Notamacropus eugenii: one gene and its partner. The protein of the gene in region 2 purifies or fractionates together with the protein of the main gene of each other region. This does not show direct contact. Links are inferred from orthologs where the notes say so. Each region holds a gene or a part of one and is shown on either strand. Other genes may lie near its edges.

Region 1 (9,955 bases), on a different chromosome or scaffold from region 2:
TATTGGCATTACAATAAACCTTTGCCACCTTGACTTAAAGAATGCTTGAGTCAGTGAATTCCTTTCAGATGACCATCTCTTATACTTCAGTCCTTGAGGGGTCCCTGAACCCCTTAAACCACATCATTTCCTTTTTAAACATCAGAAAATCTCTTTCATGTAGGAAAAAATGATAACTAAAACTAATAAATAATAATACCTGATTGGTAACAACCTTTCAAGGTATGAGATCAAAGTTGATACATAAAGTGAGAATGTTACTGCTTTTCCTTTAACAAAGATGCTCCACACTTACTTTAAAAGCACTCTCAGACTCCATGGACAGCAAGTCACCATCAAACGGAATGAGGTCAAGGCTGTACTCTTCTCTGTGAATAAAGGATCCCAGAACTCCCTGATCCTTCAGACGCTGCTCACACAACAAGCTCCGGCGTGGGACAAACAAAATGTGGAAATCTCTGGCAGGGGAGCGCCTATCTTCACTAGAAAGGAACATGATGTTTGTGGTATTTATTGTCTCAAAGACAAATGGCTCAAGGCACTGGCATTGAGTTTTCTCATGGAAAAAGAACACAGGCACATAAATAGAGATGTGGTCTTGGAGGCAGCTGGGGATGCTACAGCCCACAGAGTACCTAGCCTGGAGCCTGGAAGACCTGAGTTCAAACACTTACTAGCTATGTGATCCTGGGCAAGTCAATTAACCCACCTGCCTCAGTTTCTCAATTATAAAATGGGGATAATAACAGCACCTACCACTCAGGGTTGTGAAAATAAAGTGACATGTTTTTAAAGACACACAGGAGGTGCTTAATAAATGCTTAAATTAAATAAATGCTTAAATTAAATAAATGCTTATTCCCTTCCCTTTCCTCTTGATAACAACCACACTGAAATCCTCTTTTAAACGCTTTATGTTACACTTTGTGACACTAACGTGCTTGATTTAATGTAGCAGTAAATCCAACTAATCAACGATGTTGTAACTAGAGGGAGCCTCTGATTAAACTATTCAGCAAGCCTCTGAAAGATTCCTTCCTTCTGTGTTCTCCTTTCCTTTTTTCCAACTGATGACTCCCAATACATGTTAACATTCAGTTAAATCAGTGTTGACCAAGGGTCTGTGATGTGCGTGGTCCTGTGAGAACAGAATGAAAAACAGCCCCTGATCTACGGAGCAGGGATATCACTGTCTCCGTCAAAATTATTATTCCTCCCCATGAAAGAGATCAGCCCAGTATCCCAAGGGCTACAGGGAAGCCTCTGTAAACAGGAGGATCTCATTTTTGCTCTAGAAATGCTTTGCTTACTTTCTCTTGTGAAACATAAGTAGAGCCTCATTTCCTCTAAAAGGGCAGACTGGGTTTAGGAAACAAATACAACACGGGATCTGGGCAAGAGTGCTCTGCCTCCCAGTGGCCTTGAAAGTGTTTTAAGTGCCCTGGGTCTCAGGCTCCTCCTCTGGACTTTCGATGAGGGCGCTGGCTCACCAATGTCCCTTCCAACTCTAAATCTTGTAATCTGATCTTTTAGGTCCTCGTGGAAGGTTCCTTTCAGTCGACAGATTCATCTTTCCTCCTCCTTTTGCCCCTGCCCAACCCCTAGTCGGCCCAGGAGAGCCTGCCTCATACCTTTAAAAGGGGCCACACAGAGGGCCCAATTTACTATTTCCTACTTAATGCCTTGTTGAGGAGGCAGCATGGGACAGAGACCCTAAAGCCCTGGCTTCAGATCAAGCAGGAGGCTCTAGATTCAAATCCTGCTTCTGGAGGTTGGACTGGACACCCTCCAAGGTCCTTGCCAACTATAGCCTATGGTACTACTTCCCCCACTGAAGGTTTTCCTCCAAGAATCTCCTGATCGATGCAGTGAGGGAGTTGTACTAGATGACCCCTAATGTCCATCTCTAACATTCTAGGCATTCCCAGTAGCAAAAGTTCCCAGCTCTAACGTTCTAGGCTCAGTTCTCTTCTAGCCTGGCCACCCTTCCACCCTATCCATTTTTCTATGACAGCCACCTCACATTCTGAATGTAATCCATACTCCATCCACACTCTTCTTCAAAAGCTGGAATGTAAGAATTAAACACCATTTTAGTTTTAAATAAATTTAAGATTTTTCCTCCTTAGATACCTGAGTACATTTTCAGCAATTATATCCATCAATTCTAGCCTGGGTCTGACAAAAAAAATAATGTTCTTGACATCAGCTGCAGGCAGTCGACTTCCTTTAAGTGTGAACATTTTTTCCACCTCATGTTCCTGTGGAAAAGACAAAAGTTGTAACTGAAGACGTGGATTTGAAATTGAACATTCAATTCATCAAACACTTAAAAAAGCACTTGCTTTTAAGGAGCTTAGCACCATATAGGTGTAATTGTAAAGTACCGAGAAAAAAGGGGAGCTAGGTGGCATCACAGTGCAGAGAGCACTGGGCCTACAGTCAAGAAGACTCCTCTTCTTGAGTTCAAATCCAGCCTCTGACGCTTCCTAGCTGGGTGACTCTGAGCAAGTCACTTCACCGCTTGCCTCAGTTTCCTCAACTGTAAGATGAGCTGAAGTAAGAAAGAGCAAACCACTCCAGGAACGGGGTCACGGTGAGTGGGACACAGCTCAAGGAGACAATAACAAATCATAATATGCAGGACATGTGTGTGATGGTTAGAAAGGATGAGGCTGGATATGAGCTGCATCAGCACCTCCAGTCACAGAGGGGTCTCAAAGTGACAGCTCCAGGAGTTCACACAGGAGGCCAGCCCCTGCCCCAGCCCCTGCCCCTGCCCCAGGAGGCCAGCGCCAGCCCCATTCCCTGCCCCTGCCCCAGCGCCAGCCCCATTCCCTGCCCCTGCCCCTGTCCCAGCCCCTGCCCCTGCCCCAGCCCCAGCCCCTGACCCTGACCCTGTCCCAGCCCCTGCCCCTGCCCCCCACTCTATCTTCTTTACCTTCAACAGCGAGTACTGCGCGATCAGCCCAAAGGGCCCCGTGAGGTGTTCATCCCAAACTATGGCCTGCAAAGAGTAGAGTCAGTGACCACCTGGGAAGCGCTGGGGGCGGCCGGCAGGCCCCCGGAAGGCCGGTCTGGGCCCCAAGAAGGGAGGCAAACACCTGCTGCAAACGTCACAGGTTTAAGCTCTCAACAACCACCCAAAATTCTACCGGCGTCACATGGGTGTTCTGCGTCCTCCCGCCCGGGCCCAATTTCGTCGGACTCAAAACCCTTGGGGTCCTGTTTGCACCAGACGCCCTGGGAAAAGCGCTTATCGCGAAGGCTCTGACAATGGTGCACCTGGCGGCGGGCCGGCCTAGGGCACCCGCCCGGCCCCCCCACCCCCGTTAGTGCTGTCGGTCAGAAGCCGAAGGATGTCGAGAAGCTTCGGGGGAAGGCATGCCCATGACCTCGGGGTCCTCAGTTTCCCCTCCGCGCCCGCCCGGGCCTCACCTTGCTGCCCGCGCACTTGTCCAGGAACTCGCGCAGCTCCCTCCGCACCGCCTCGCGCAGCACGTTCAGGTTCACACGCCCGTAGGACAGGTGAGCCGCCATCCTGCAGCGGCACCTCCCCTGTCCTCCCCTCCCCTCCCCGCGCCCGACGGCCCTCAGCGCGCACCGAAGCAGCAGTCAGCTGATCGCGCCTCCGCGCACGTGACGCGCGACAGGCGGAGCCGGAAATGCCCGGGCCACAGGGGCGCCACCGCCTCTGAGCATGCGCACGGGGAGCGCGCATCGGCTCCCGGCAGCCCCTGCGTGTTCCGGGGCGGCCCCCTCCCTCCCGGGAGCTCCGAGGCGGAGGCCGAGTCACGGCTGTTCCTGAACCCTGGTTTCTTTTCCCCCCTCCCAGCGTCCTGCCCGGGGGGTCTCCAGGGAAGCGGCGGAAGTGCGAGGCATCAAGCGCTTCGGGAGCCTGACGTAACACGCCTGGGAACCTCTGGGCCTCAGTTTCCTCTCCTGTCTAGCGAGGCCGTGCACGTGCAGCCCCCGCCAGCCTCCCGTCAGTCCCAGCAGGGAGCGGGGCCGGGCGTCACGTGGCCTGCCGATGGGCGTGCCCCGGAAGTGAGGGGGAAGGAGGAATCCCGCCTCCAGATGGGTGCCCGCGGAGAGCCCCGCCGGGAGCACGCCACTGCCGCCCCCTCTTTCCAGCCGAGGAAACTGAGGCAGACAGGGCGGATCCCGCGGCTGCGAAGCGTCCGCGGCAGGATTTGAACTCGGGCCGCCTGACTCCAGCCGCCACCTTTTCCCTAGGTTCAAAGTGTAAAAAAGGCCTAAGGCCTCCGTCTGCGGCTTCGCTGTGGGAGGCCCTGCCCTTGCTACCTGCGCCTCTTTGGAAAGGTTGCTTTCCGCGCGCTTGAGTTTCTCCGTCTACCCACCTAACCTCGGTCCCATTAAATTCGTGTCTGGACGTGACGTGACTGGAGAGGAGGGGACGGAGAAGCTGGTGTCAGTCCCGGATTGTAGGTACCAGGGTGGCTGCCACAAAGAGCTGGGAATCCAGGCCCTGGAACGCAGCTGCTGTCAGGATCTGGGAGCACAGGTTGGATGCGCCAGGACAGACAGAAAGACAGAACAACCAGCCCTGTGTTTTGGGGCCATGAGCCTCTCAGAGAGGAAGAAGGTCCTCAGGCTGGCCATTAGCCTTGTTTCCCTCTACAGAACAGGCTCATCCTGGTCCCACTGAGGGATGGAGTCACCAAAGAGTCGTACACTGGATTTTACTGAAGCTGGAACAGTTCTGCTGTATTGTCCTATTTTAAATTTTGTGACAAGCATTTCTTTATAAAGATGAAACTTTGGGAAACAGTAAAGGAGAGTTGGAGATTACCCACAAGATTTGGTAGAATCTGGAAAACGCCCTGTGTGACCTTGGGCATGTCACCACAATTCTCTCTGTTCTCATTTGTAAAATGAAAGAGTCCAATGAGTGACTTCTGAGCCCTCCTAGTCCTAAATGTTATGATCTCATGAACACTGGCTTATTCTTTTTAATTTCCATGTTAGATTTTTTCATTTTAGTTAGAAAACCCTATTTTGAAATCTACATTAGCAGAAGTGTTCAACTAGTACTGAAAAACCCTATAAAACCTATTTTGAAATCTACGTTAGCAGAAGTGTTCAATTTGTACCAAAATCCACTTATTTCAACAGTTGTTCTCTAAGATAATGGGATCACAGATTTAGAGTGATTCCCTCGTCTGGAGCCAGTAGAAGAAATCTAATCCTTCCTGCACATGACAGCCTTTCAGATGCTTGAAGATAACTATCATATTCCCCCTCTGCATCTTTTCTAGGCTAAAGAACCCAGTTCCTTCAACCCATCCTCATAACTCTTCACCATTCCACTTACCCTTATTTGGACTCTTCTCTGGTTCATCAATGTCCTTCTGAAACTGATGTTTAGAACTACACATACAACTAACTACCTATGAGGTCTGACAGAGACAGAGAGTTCAGTGGGGCTCTCACTTCACCATTCCTGGAAATGGTGCCCTTCTCAATGCAGCATAAGATCCCATTAGTATTTTTGGTGATGCCCACCATACTACTGACTTATGAGGAGCTTGCACTCCACTAAATCTCCCAAGTCTTTTTCAGCATAAGGGATGAGCCGTTGTGCCTCCTTCCCACCCATCCTCCATCTTGTACCTGTGAATTTGACAGTAGACACTGCCAGAAATACCTCAGATTCATGACGTTTGATTTTTTTAAATTAATTTTGGTCATTTTGCATTCAGAAACCTTTTATTGTTGGCAAAATTTTCTAGACCCCACATGGGGTCATGACCCACAATTTAAGAAGTGCTGCTTTATCCTCTCAAGATCCATTTGGATCTTATCTGTCCTTCCCATATTGGAGTCCTCTGCCTGTTTGGTGAACTTCATGCCTTTATCCAAGTCACTGATACAAATAAGAAATAACAGCAGAACAAGCACAGGTTTCTGGAATATTCTACCACTAGCTATTCTTAAATCTGGCCATCCAGCAAGTTCTAAATTTACCTGATTATTGTCCCATCTCTATCTTTCCATCTTCTGCACAAGGACAGTATGAAAACGTTTATCAGAAGCTTCTAGGTCAACTATATCCATCATTCCCTTCAGTCTGGTTGCTGTTTGTACTTCATTCTGCAAGAGAACTGATGACATCTAATGTCTTCACTTGCTCATGAATCAGATTTAAGTGAGGTAAAGCTATGCAAGGTCCTCAGCCTCCCTGTCTCCAGAGTTATGAGTCCAGTGGCAAGACCACTAGCAAAGAAAGTGGTTGTAACAAAAAGCCAGAGTTGCCTTTATCAAGAGTGGGTCCTAGCAAAGTAATCTCTTTTTTTGGACAGGGTTTTTTAATTAGTCAGTCAGGAGAATTTAATATAGTTTGCCTAGATTTTAGCAAAGCACTTGATGAAGTATCACATACTATTCTTGTGGAAAAGATGAAGAGGAGTGGACTAGTAAGCAATCAGATGGTTCAGCACTGGGTGAAGATTTCCAGTGTCAGGCCCCAGGGATCTCTCTGTTTGGCCCTGTGCTATTTAAGACTTTGATGAGTGATTTGGATAAATGTGTAGAAAACATCAAACTTGCTGGTGCCATATATAGCTGTAATAGGTAGATGAGTCAGAAGCCCAAAAGAACTTGACTGTCTAGCATCAGAACTAGATCAAAAAAGATAGGGAGGGATAAATGTAAAGTCTTCTCCCTAGGTTCAAAAAAATCAACTTACAAGTGCAAGATGGAGGCATGGCTAAATAGCAGTTTGTGGTGGATTGTAATGTGAACACTAAGCAAGCAGCCCCCAAAAGGTAAGATCCTGGGCTGTGTTGAGAGAGAGATCTTTCAGGCAGGAATAAACAAGTTGTGTTGTTTTCAGTTTTGGACCCTGATGTTTCAGGACACAAATAAAGTGGATCCAGCATCCAGAGTCCCACCAGCATCAAGAGCCTACTCCATGCTAGGCACCAGGGCTGCAAATAGAAAGAATGAAAACTGTGGCTACTTTCAAGGGGCTTATGTTCTAATAGTCATAATGTTCTTAGGTTCACACAGCTAGCTAGTATCACGTGTCTGTCTGAGGCCATTTTTGAACTCAGATCCTCCTGATTTCAGGGCCAGTGTTCAATCCACTTCACCACCTAGCTGCCCCCAGAACTGTTTCTTAAAGGAAGAGAGGATTCCATGAGGAGGAGGTAAGGAGAGAGTACATTCCAGGTATGGGGAAAGACCAGAGATGATTCCATGAGATCAGCTGAAAGAAATGAGCACATTTGGTCTGCAAAATATCCCTTAGTGGAGGCATGATAGCTATCTCGCAGTATTTGATGGGTGTGTTAGATCCGATTCTAGTCCTTTTTAACCCCTCTTACAGATCTGAAGTGCTAAGCCTTCATGAATATTAACATTCCCAGTATCCAGAGTGCTCTAGTCTAGACAAGTGGTATGAAACTCAAATAGAATCTCTGCTGCCTGCATGAGGACCAACTTAGAAAACCACAAATGATTGTTATCTATGTTGTATTTTTATTTATTTTTAACATTTCCCAATTACATTTTGACTTATTTCAGGCTATACTCAAGTTTTTGCTGATCCTAAGTTTGACACCTCTGCTTTCTGGGTCAGCAGTTTAATTAAATTAAAGCTATGAACAAACTTTTATCATCTTTGTTCAAGCTCATGGCCACCTGCGCATCTAATGCCATCCTCCTAGCAAAGGCCAGGCAATTTAGACTGATCTCATGTCCATATTAGTTGGTTAGTCTATGCTGTGTAGATTTTTTAAAATAATTTTTTATTGCTGTCTAGTTTTTCACAGAATCTCTCTCCCCTGTCTCCTTCCAGAGAGCCATCCTATGTAACAGATACTGTTGGAAGGTGGTGAAGAGACAGAGAGAAATCAGTACAACATATTATGAGTAGAGTGAAAAAGTCCCACAACATGCTTGTGTGCACCACCTGTGAACCTCACTCAGTGAACAAGTGGGTGGGGAAGTGTTTCTCCTGTCTCTTTGAGTCTTTGCTGGAGCTACGCAATTTTGCTAGAATCACTTGATTTTTTGCTAGATGGTTCTTTCAATTTACATTGCTGTAGTCAGTGTGCAGTGTTTCCTTGGCTTTCTAACTGTACATCAGCTTATATATCTTATTCCATGCTTTATAATTCATCACACATTATTTCTTAGAGTACAGTAATATTCTCTTATATTCAACCACAGTTTGGCCATTCCCCCAAATGATGGGCATCTACTTTGTTTCCAATTCTTTGCTACCACAAAAAGTGCATGCTGCTGTAAATATTTTGGTGTATATGGTATGTAGTGTTAATGGTTTCTCAGCTATTTTGCTTTCATCTTTAACATCAACCATCGTTTGTGGCTAGCCCATGGAATTACAGATAAGAACATTTATATATCCCTCTATGATACCTTACAGAGACAGACGTAAGGGAGGATGAGGAAGAAGCATCCTAACCCTTGCTTCTTTTCCCTCTCAAACAATTAAGGATGTTCCGAAATCCCAGAGCATGGATCAGGAAGTGGAGGTAGCAGACCGAATTGCCAAAAAACAGGAATGCCTCTACCACATTTCAGGAAGCAGCTGGGTGGCATAGTAGATAGGGCACAAGATCTGGACTCAGGAAAAACTGAGTTCGAATTCTGCCCCAGAAAGACTAGCCATGTGACTTTGGGCACATTGTTTATTTAGCATCTTTCAGCTTCCCACGGATGTTGTGAGGATCAGATAAGATAATATTTGTAAAGCACTTAGCAAACCTGCAAGTGCTGTGTAAGTATTGGCAATAAGATCAGATATATAATTTTTCTTGTACAAAACGTAAAAGCTAGAAAGTAGTCTTGGGAGCTTCTATAGCCTTCCCTCCTATTCCCACCGTCTTTGGCTGCATGGCCTCAGCTTTAGAGTGACTATTACCATCCCATCTTGACATGGAAGTCTTAGGTGTGGTTTGCTTCTTATCCCTTCTTTAGCGTGGGCTATTGATTTGTCACATGATCAATCATTTGAAGAGGCCTTTGGCACCAAACATAGGAACTGAAATGACCCTGTACCAGAAATGGCAGAACAAAGATGACCAGTAAGGATTTGATATCCAAGATAAATTAAGGGATAGTGAGCATCTACATCATCCCTGGCTAAGTCACCTGGCCCAGATGAACTATATCCATGGACCTTGATAGATTTGACTGTTGCCATCTGTCTATCAGTAATATCTGAAAGGTTATGGAAAATGGAAGTGGTACAACAACTTTGAAGATGGGCAAATAAGTGTCTCAGTTTTCAAAGTCAGCAACTCAGACTTTTGGGAAAATTCTAGAGTAGAAAGAGAGGTTTGGTGAACATCTAGAAACATGTTTTCGAAGACTTTAAGAATACAATAAATAATTAAAAATGCAATAAATAAGTAACTCATGCCAAACTAACCTTTCTTGAGATTTGGGGACTTGACTAGTAAACAGGGAGGGGAATGCTATGGATATAGCTTGCCTATTTTGGCAAAACTTTTGATAAATTATCTCATTATCTTCTTGTGCAGAAGATGGAGATATGAACTGGAAGGTTAATACACAAAGCTGGATTCAGAAATGGTTTGATAGCCAGACTTGAAGAATTATTATTAATGGCTCAGTAGCAACTTTGCAGTATCATTGGAGAACCTTCAAGGATTTATGTTGTTTAGTATTTTATCAATGACTTAGATAAGTGCATACAAAGTATGCTCATCAAATTTGCAGATGAGACTAATGTGGGAGGAAAAGCTAACAGTGGATAACAAGATCCAATAGGATGTTGATAGGCTAGAGGGTTGGGCTGGATCCACTAAGAATTCAATGGGCATAAATGTCAAGACTTGAACTTGAGTACAAAGTCAAATTCACAGGCACAAGATGGAAGGAGGGTGGGAAGGAGGCCTGGTTGGTCAGCAGTTATGCTGAAAAAGACTGAGAGGTTTACTGG
Region 2 (9,873 bases):
CAAATATATCTCACTTCTCTCTACCAGCCTCCCATCATTTTTCACTTGGACTTTTGCAGTAGCCTCCTAAGTGATCTCCATTTATCTAGTTTCTTCCTCTCCAAACAATGCTCCACACAGCTTCGAAATTGATATCCCTAAAGCAAAGGTCTGGCCATGTCACTCCTCTACTTAAGAAACTTCAGTAGCTCCCTGTTGTTTCGAGGATAAAATACAAACGCTTTTTTTGACATTTAAAGCCCTTCACAGTATAGTTGCAATCTATATTTCCAAGATGATTACACAGTTCTATGACTCATGCATTCCATGTTCCAGTCAGACTGGGCCACTTGCTTTTCCACATGCATGACATTTCTCCAATGCCAGTCTTTGCACAAACTGGCTTCCATGCCTGGAATACCCCCCCCACTCTTGCCTCCTGGAGCCAGAAGCTCTTGTCCAGGTACATCTCAAGTGTCACTGTTACAGGAAGCCTTTCTTGTAGTAGTATATCACAAAAATCAAACACTCTGAGCAAGATAGATTTATGAATTCAGAAATTCAGGGTTGGTTTGTATTAGGAAAACTATAAACATAATTTACTATATTGATAACAAAATCAACACAAATCATATGATTACTTCAATAGATGCAGAAAAAGCTTCTGACAAAATATAACAGAAGTATCTATTAAAAATCAAGAGCCAGAATTATCTGTAATTTGGATAAGCTATGAAGCTTTTCCAGTAAGATCAAGGATGAAGCAAAGTTGTCATTTATCACCATTATTATTCATTGTACTTGAAATGCTACTTATAGCACTAAGAAGAGAAAAAGAAATCTAAGGAATAAGCATAGGCAAAGAAAGAACTAAGTTTATCACTTTTTGCAGATGATATGAAAGTTTACTTAGAGAACTCTGAAGCATCAACTAAAAAATTAATTGAAACAATTAACAAAATTATCAGCAAAGTTGCAAGATATAAAATAAACCACACAAATCATTGACAATTCTGTAAATAAGAATAAAATCCAGCAGGAAGAAATAGAAAGAGAAATTCCACTTATGATAAGCAAGGATAGTATAAAACATTTATGAATCTACCTGACAATATACATACAAGAATTATATGAACATAATTACAAAACAATCTTTATACAAATAAAGATCTAAATAATTGGAGAAATATTAATTGCCCATATGTAAGCCAAAACAATTAATAAAAATGACAATACTACCTAAATTAATATATTCAGCGCCACACCAAACTACCAAAGAATTATTTTATAGAGCTAGAAAAAATAACAAAATTCACCGAGAGAAACAAATGGTCATAAATATCTAGGAATTCAATGAAAAAAATGGGAAGGAAATAGTATCACATCTGAAACTCTATTACAAATCTGTAATCACAAAACAATTTGGTCCTGGATAAGAAACAGGGAGGTTGATCTGTGAAACAGATTAGGCATACAATATACAGAAGCAAATGAACATTTTTGTAGTTATTCAATTGCTTTGGTTTTGTCCAACCCCTTGTGATGCCCTACTCCCCTCCCAAAATTAACAAAGCATTATTTGATCCCCTCAAAGATCCCAGCTATTTGGGAACAAGAACTCACAATTCAGCAAAAGTGTTGGGAAAACAGGAAGAATGTCTGGTAGGAAGTAGAGACCAACATCCCATGAAATATATCAAGATGAGCTCAAGATGGGTACATGATTTAAACATAAAGAGTAACATCAAAAGCAAATTAATAGAAAATGGGAATTATTTGTCAAATCTATGGATAAGAGAAGAGGTCATGCTCAAACAAGAGATAAAGAGATTCACAGGAAGTAAAAGGGATGATTTTGATTACATAAAATTAAAAAGTTTTTGTAAAAGCAAAACCAATGCAACTAAAATTAGAAGAAAAGCAGAAAACTGGACCAGGGGATTCTTTGTAGGAAGTGTCTGATAAAAGTCTCATTTCTGAGATACATAGGGAAATTAATTATGTTTATAAGACTAAGAGGCACTCCCCAGTTGACAAATGGTCAAGGGATACAAATTGTTGTTGTGTTCATCCTTTGTTGCCGAAGAAGACCATGCCACCAGAGAAATGATGACATGACTTGCACTTGACTTTGTTTTGAGTGAGGGAGGGTGTGCAAGGTCACCAGTCTCGCTTTTTCCTCCTGAGCCATCTGGATCTAGTGACCAGATGATATTCATCAGGATGACTGGACATGGCCTAGGATGCAGTGGGAGACCTTGGCCCCTTTAGGTATATAAATAGGCAATTTTCAAAGGAATATGTGAAAGGAATATATTCAAAGGAATGTCACATGAAAAAATTTTCTCACTAATAATTAGAGAAATGCAAATGAAAACAACTCTGAGGTACCACCTCATGCCTATCAGATTGGCTAGGTTGACAAAAAAGTATAACAAAAGATGCTAAAGAGGATGTATACTAGGTACACTAATACACTGTTGGTAGAGTTGTAAACTAATTCAAAAATTCTGGAAAGCAATTTGAACCTATGCCTAAAATGCTATTAAATTGCTTATACCCTTTGATCTAGCAGTATTTATATCCCAAAGAGATCCCACAGAGGAGAAGGATCCCTAAAGGACAAAAATACTTATAGCAACTCTTTTTGTGGAGGCGCAGAATTGGAAACTGAGTAGGTGTTCATCAGGTGTTCAGCCAGGAACTGGCTGAACAAATTATGATATATGAATATGATGGAATACTAGTGTGCTGTAAGAGATAATGAAGAGGAAGGTTTTAGAAAAACCTGGGAAGACACATATGAACTGATGCAAAGTGAAGTGGGCAGAACTAGGAGAATAATTTATATAATAACAGTATTGTAAAAAGAACTTTGAAATATTTAGGAATTCTGATTAACACAATGACTAACCACAGTTCCAAAACACACATGATGAAACATGCTGTCCACCACCAGATAGAGAACTGATAGGTTCAAAGTACAAATGGAAGCATATTTTCTTTTCTTTCAAAAAAGAAATTTTTTTGGACATGACTAACGTGAGAATATGTTTTGTATGACTATGTACATTTATAATGGATTTTGCTTTTCTTACCTAATCAATATGTAAAAGAGAAGGAGAAAGGAAAAGAATTTGGAACTGAAAATAAAATAAAATTGAATTTTTTAATTGAATTGTGGTAGTTAGTGCCCCCCTTAGAAACTACTTTGCATGTATTTTGCATAGGTTTTTTTATTTACCTAAGTGTGTGTATATTTACTTATCTGTCCATAGAAACAACTTGGCCACAAGGACTTTTTAATGTTATCTTTGGTTCCCTAACCAAACCTGGCACATAGTAGGAACTTAGTAATTGCTTGTTGATTAATAAAATGCTTATTGAATTGATTATTGTTCAGCAGTTAGCTATTCAATATCAAAGGTGGGTTTTGAAACAGCATGTAGACCTGACAACTAATTATTAAATTAGTTTATATGGTAGCATTTATTTAATAGCCTGAAATTTGTTTAATCATCAGTCTCTTAGTTTACATCTCTTTCTTGCTCTGAAAAATCCCAAACAAGTCTAGTGGAGCCCATCTCCTAATGGATGTCTGGATGTTTTATTCAGGACTCATTTCTAACCCTATATATATTAATAAATGGACTGATTTATAAATTTGGTTGACATATGTTGTCAGTTTCAGTGAAGGAGATAGAAAAGGAAGCCAGGTTTCTAGGGACTGAGAAATGAGTGGGTGGCAAAAAAAAAAAAAAGTGGAGACAGCCAAGTATAGACTACTCTCTTTGGAAATTTAGCAGTGAATGGATAGGGACATATATGATAATAACTTAAGGAAGTGGCAGAGTCAGTGTTAGAGTTGTTTGTTTTGTTTTTTCAGATAAAGAAGACCTGAGCATTGCAGGAACAGCATTGTAGACTATATAAAGCAGTAACACTGGCACTGCTTCTGCCTTCTAATAGCAGATAAATGAAAATACATCATGAAAGCATTTGTATGTACCTATACAGGCAGGATAGCTATACAGCTGTTCTAAATTAGTCCCCTACTACATCCGTAGTCATGGACCTATATCTTACCACTGGACTCCAATGACTTCTGGGGGGAGAGGGAGGTTGATGATTTTGCACAGCTCTGCCTCACTTTGGGGGTGGGTATATGTGTGAAATGTCATTTTGCTTCCATTTAGGGAAGAATTCCTCAAGGAATGTGGGGTTTTAGGAGTATGAGAAGGGCATGGCATTTATTGATTAGTTGGTAGGCAGGGGAAGATGGAACAAAGTAGGCTCACTTGGCCCTTAGGCTTTACTGATAAGAGTTAGAGGACAGATAAAGTCATTTACCAACAGAGAAGTGTTTTGCCTCCTAGAGTGGACGTTGCTTTTGCCAGGAGTATCTCTCCTGATTATGATGACCAAGGTTGGCTTGGAAAGAGAAATGGGACACTAAGGGTATGGAACGCTACATATACTGTCAGATTCCACTAAAGTGTTGGTTAGTTTTACCAAACTGTTTTTCCCTCTGGCTTTTTTATTGTTATAAGGGATGGCTCCTTGGGTGATGGTGGGGAAAGAATATTTGGAAATGAAGGTCTTATTAAACTAAGTTTTCCCTCTTTTTTATTGTTATAAGGGATGGCTTCCTGGATAGAGGTGGGGGGCTCATATATTTGGAAATGAAGGTAATGAAAGAAATATGGCAAAATTTCTAAAAATTAAGAGTACACTCTTCTGACCATACTGAATTTCTTTCAGGCATCTATCTTTGTTACTCTGAGTTAAACTCTCCAGAAAGCAATGAATTTGCCTTCCCTCCCCTACAGAGAAACTCAGCATTTGTGGGGAGGTAGAGATGGGGATGACTAGGGAGAGGGCCAAAGAAATGACTTGCAGTCAAGAGCAGCTTTACGTCTTATGTCTAGAAGACTAACCAGAAAGGGCAATGCTTGACCCAGGGGAATAAATCTCTCACGGCATCTTGAGCCACTGGGAAGAAAAAGATTTGGGGTTAAGGTGTACCTTCCTAGAACTCAACTTTCCACAGAACCTTGAAGGTCCTTCCAAGTATTAGGAACCTTCCCTCACTTCATTTCCCCCACACTCCTTTTTGCCCTGGGTTAAAGTGGATGGGAGTGGGAAGCAAGGGGGAGGAAGGAGAAGAGAGAGCAAAGAGGATAGGAAGGACAGATAAAGGAAGAATAAAAGGGAAGTGGGGAGACAGGGGGGAGAGAGAGACAGAGAGAGACAGGGAGAGAGAGGGAGAGAGGGAGGGGGGGAAGGGAGAAACAGAGAGGGAGAGGGAGAGAGAGAGAGGAGAGGGAGGGAGAAAGAGGAGAGGGAGGGAGAAGGAAAGAGAGAGAGAGAGAGAGAGAGAGAGAGAGAGAGAGAGAGAGACGGAGAGGGAGGGAGAGAGAGGGAGAGAGAGAGGGAGGGAAGGAGGGAGGAAGGGAGGGAGGGAGGGAGAGGGAGAGGGGGGAGAGAGGGAGGGAGGGAGGGAGAGGGAGAGGGGGGAGAGAGGGAGCTGGGGGAGGCGGGGCCTCCGAGGACACCTGCCCGGCTGCGCTCCGGCGCTCGCAGCTCCAGGCACAGAGAGCACGCCCAGGTACCGGCGCCCTCACGCCCACTCCCACCCGAAGGACAGCTCAGGCCCTCCCCCAGCCCCCTCCATGACCCTCATCCTCAGCCGCGGGGAGGGGGTCGAGCGCGCCGGCCGGATGATCGGGCGCCCCTCTCGGCCCCTGTCAATCAGAGGCGGAGGCCGCCGTCCTGCCGCGCTCCGGGGCGGGCCCCCACGTGACGGGAAGCGGCGGCGGGGCCCGGACGGAGCCCCTGGGGGAGCTGCGGAGCCAACCCGGAGCCGGGCCGGGCGGGGCCGAGCCGGGCGGAGGGCGCGTGTGCGGGGCCCAGCAGTCCCGGGCCTCGGCGGCCGCCGCAGCCGCAGCCGTGAGCGGGAGGCTGGGCGCAGGAGCGGCGGCGGAAGGCGGCTCGGGGCGGAGCGGACCGAGGAGGCCCGGGCTGGGCGAGCGCGGGTGAGGAGGGGGCTGCGGCGGGGAGGCCGCGGGGCTGCGGGCGGGCCGGGCTGTCACAGCGCTGAGGCGGGGCGGCCGGGCGGGTGGAGGGCGGCCGGGGCTCTGGCGTGCGTGCGTGCGGGTGTGTGTGTGTGTGTGTGTGTGTGTGTGTGTGTGTGTGTGTGTGTGTGTGTGTGTGTGTGTGTGTGTGTGTGTGTGTGTGTGTGTGTGTGTGTGTGTGTGTGTATGCGTGTATGTGTGCGGGGGTATCCTGGGGTGGGGGGGGTATCGTGCGTGCGTGCGTATGTGGTGTCCTGGTGTGTGTGTGTGCGCGTGCGTGTGTGTATGCGTGTATGTGTGCGGGGTATCCTGGTGTGTGTGCGTGTGTATGCGGATGTGTGTGTAAGTGAAATTTAGGAGGGTGGGATTCAGGGTGTGATCTTGTGGTGTGTATGTGTGGGGCTGTGTGTGTGATTTAGGGTGGTACGGCGTATGTATGTGCGCGTGTGTTAGGTTAGGGGCTGTATGTGGTTCAGGAGGTTGGGACTCTGTGTGTGTGTGTGGTGGAGGGGGATGGTCCTCTGCATGTTTTTTTGTGTATGTGTGTGTTAGGTTGGGGGTGTGGTTAGGAGGATGGGACTCTGTGTGTGGGGGGGCAGTTAGAAGGATGGGACCCTGGATATCTGTGTGTTTGGGGGATAGGGGAAAGATCCTGGAGACTCATTGCTTGATTTGAAGTGGAGGTTGAATACTTTCAAGACGAGGAAAGAGAATGAAGAGACCCTATCAGGGTCTCTTTCCTCTATCCCTAAGGCTGTTTGGGAGCAAGGAAGCAAGTGTATATGAACCATAAGTTGTTCCTAGGCATCTTGAAGTTTTAGAATATTTAAGGTTTATCTTTGTCCCAATGGGCAAGAGAACCTCATGGATGAAAAGATAGCAAGTCCAGTGTTGAATTAAAATGGATGGTTTTTGAGGATTGAAGAGCTCAAAGCCAGAATCCTGAGAGATTTTTCCCATGTTGCCAGTTGAGGTGCAAGTGGTGAGTTAGTTTTCACTTGTAGTTGATACTACCTCCTCTTGAGTACAGGAAGCTTTCCATGAATATGGACAGAAGGCTTAGTTTTCAGGCATCTGTACTTGTCAACACGGTAGCCAGCACTGTATGGAATCTCCTTTAGCAGCATTCGTTCACAAAGCTACCAGGGCCTGTGGATTACCTGCTGCCCACTAGGATTCCATGGAGTCATCATTAATGTTAGAAGAAGGCATTTAGTTTTGTAGGTTGAAAATTTAACTGAGTAAGGGGTTAATCACTGTTGAAATTGCTGCACTGTGAGAAGCTTCATCTCTTTGTTTTCAGGGAGGTCAGCATGTTGGCATTATTGTATTTGTCAGATTAATGCATTGATAAATCATGTGTGTGAGTATAATAGCACTATAATATGAGATGTTTCATTTGTAGGTCAGAATTGATGTCTGAGAACTGGCTCTCAGCCCAAATGAAGCCTGATGTTGAGGCCCACGACTCATTTGTAATTTATGTGCTTCCTCTCTCATAGTTAGACCAAAACCATCTGAGCTTTACTACAAAACCTGGGGAGAAAACATTTGGACGGTTTTTGTCCTTTCCCCTTCCTTTTCTGCTTGCTGAGTCTACTTCCTTTGCCTCTTCTCTCCAAAACACTCAGTGAAGCCAGTCTTTTTTGGCTCAGCATTTTTTTTTTTTTAGCAGCTGCAGTGGTGTGGAAAGAGCATTGGTTTAGGAAATCAGAGACTTGAGTTTTAACACTAATTCTTAGGCTAACTACATTGACCTTGGAAAAATTCAGTTGATCTTTTGGGCCACTTTTCATTATGTTTGAAGTTAGGAAATTGAAAGACCTCTCAATTTCCTTCCAGCACAAAACTTCTTCGATTCTGTGTGCTTTGAGTGCTGTCTTTGATAATAAAAGATGGGTGGGTGTTTCAGAGTAAGTTCACTTGTGGATTCTCTAGCCTGATTTCTGTTTAGGCAGTGGTAAGTTGGAATAGAAAATATAACAACATACTTAGCTTTCATTCATTCTTCTGTGTCATTTTCAGTCATGTATTTATTTCTGCAATAGTTTTTGTTCAACTTTAAGGTATTGTTATTATTAGAGATCATCTAACTTGACCTCTTATTCAAGGCTCAAATCCTTCTTAATAGTGGTTCAGTCTCTGCTTAAATATGTCCAGTCAGAGGATACTCAATACCTTTAAAGTGATTTGTTTCATTGTTGGGTAGCTTTAGTCACTGAATTCTTTGAAAATGAACAGAAACTATTACTCTTTTAAAATGCTACAACATCAAATTCCAATGTTCTACTGGCCCCTTTATTGAAGGGAACTGAAGTCCAAATATATTTAAAAGGTTTTTTAATAGACCCCCTTCTGCTTGTATTAAGAATTTAAGATTCTCTTAAAGGAAACTCTAGGTATTTTACTTAATGAGTTTAAGCCTTTTCATCTTGGTTAGAATCCAGTTCTCGTTAGAAATACATTAAAGTAATTATTTTCTGGAGCCAGGTGTTTGAAAGATATTCAGTAATTTGGCCCATACTTTCAACCCATTTCCTCTGTGGCAAGCCTGACCAGTTTTTCTTTATTAAAACAAACAGACAAAAGAAACACTCAAAAAAAACCCAACCCAAATCAAACAAACCCTGCAGAACTGCATGAATGTAGAATAATTTATATTGGCTAAGGTTTTCTAATGTTAAATATTAATACAAAATTTACTCTGTCTTACATAAGAAAAAGCTAAACCCTGGTTTCAAAATATAAAAGTACCATGAAACTGAGATACTTCCTTAATAGCATAATCTAAAGTAGCTAATTCATTAACTGTTAAAATTGTAGCTTGAAAAAGGGTACACAATTATTTTGGAAATCTGACACTGAGGGAAGTACTGTTTATTAAATATTCTGTTCTAAAGATTCCATCCACCCTTATAAGCTGATCTTTCTTGGACTGGTATTAACAGATCAGAATCTAAACTGGATTTACCCAGATTAAAAAAAATTACATTTGGGAACATCATACAAACTTTGAAATTACAATTGTACACATAGGTTATATACTATTTGCAACAGCATCTTTAAATGAGGATACTAAATATATATAACATGGTTATTTCTTTATATCCTTACAGATAGTTGGAACAGCTCTTCTTCCACTTTAGTGAACTCTTTTGTTTGTTAGAATATAGGGAGACTGTGAATAATGTTCAGATAGTGCCATTTTTATGGGGAAATAAATAGGGGAAAAGAATAGATTCTGGGAAACACAGATAAAACTTTGATGAGAAAATAATAGTAACAGCTAGCATTTACATAGTACTGTAAGGTTTTCATGTGCTTTATATGTTATCCCACTTAATCCTTACAACAACCTCTAAGATAGATGGTGTAATTTTCTCCATTTTACAGATGAGGAGACTGAGCCTGAGAGAGGTGGAGTGACTTATCCAGGGTCATACAGAGAGTAAGTGTCTTGAGACAGGATTTAAACTCAGGTCTTCCCAACTCCAGCATTCTATCATTGTGCCACCTAGATGTCCAGAGAGTTCTAGAGTAAATTATTAAACAGATGTTTTATGAGAACTTAGAAACAGAGTTGGGCGCTAGGAACCAATATGGGCTCAGTAAGAATGTTATGCCAAACCAACGTCAGTTTCCTTTTTGATAAAGTCGCTAAATTAAAAGACCATGGGAATGCCCAAGATCTGGTATCTTTTTTTTTTAAATTTAACTTTTTTTGGCTACATTTTAAGTTCCAAACTTTCTCTCCCTCCTCCCCCAGAAGGCCACCATTTCACTCACATACATACACACACACAGACACACAAATTTGCAT

Evidence for each region. Proteins that work in one complex are often made in the same cells at the same time.
Region 1: the proteins of TGFBRAP1 (region 2) and VPS33A purify together in Homo sapiens (co-immunoprecipitation; 5 studies listed by BioGRID and IntAct, with this or other methods). This does not show direct contact. The link is inferred for Notamacropus eugenii from reciprocal best matches to the Homo sapiens genes TGFBRAP1 and VPS33A.

Annotation. Positions count from the first base shown.
Region 1 is NC_092875.1:37,521,934-37,531,888, forward strand, and holds the start of VPS33A (vacuolar protein sorting-associated protein 33A), read right to left. Parts: upstream 3,736-9,955; 5' UTR 3,541-3,735; coding exon 3,439-3,540; intron 3,008-3,438; coding exon 2,942-3,007; intron 2,262-2,941; coding exon 2,134-2,261; intron 483-2,133; coding exon 296-482; intron 1-295.
Region 2 is NC_092877.1:200,323,932-200,333,804, reverse strand, and holds the start of TGFBRAP1 (transforming growth factor-beta receptor-associated protein 1), read left to right. Parts: upstream 1-5,874; 5' UTR 5,875-6,014; intron 6,015-9,468; exon of another isoform or gene 9,469-9,501; intron 9,502-9,873. UniProt on the Homo sapiens protein: Plays a role in the TGF-beta/activin signaling pathway. It associates with inactive heteromeric TGF-beta and activin receptor complexes, mainly through the type II receptor, and is released upon activation of signaling.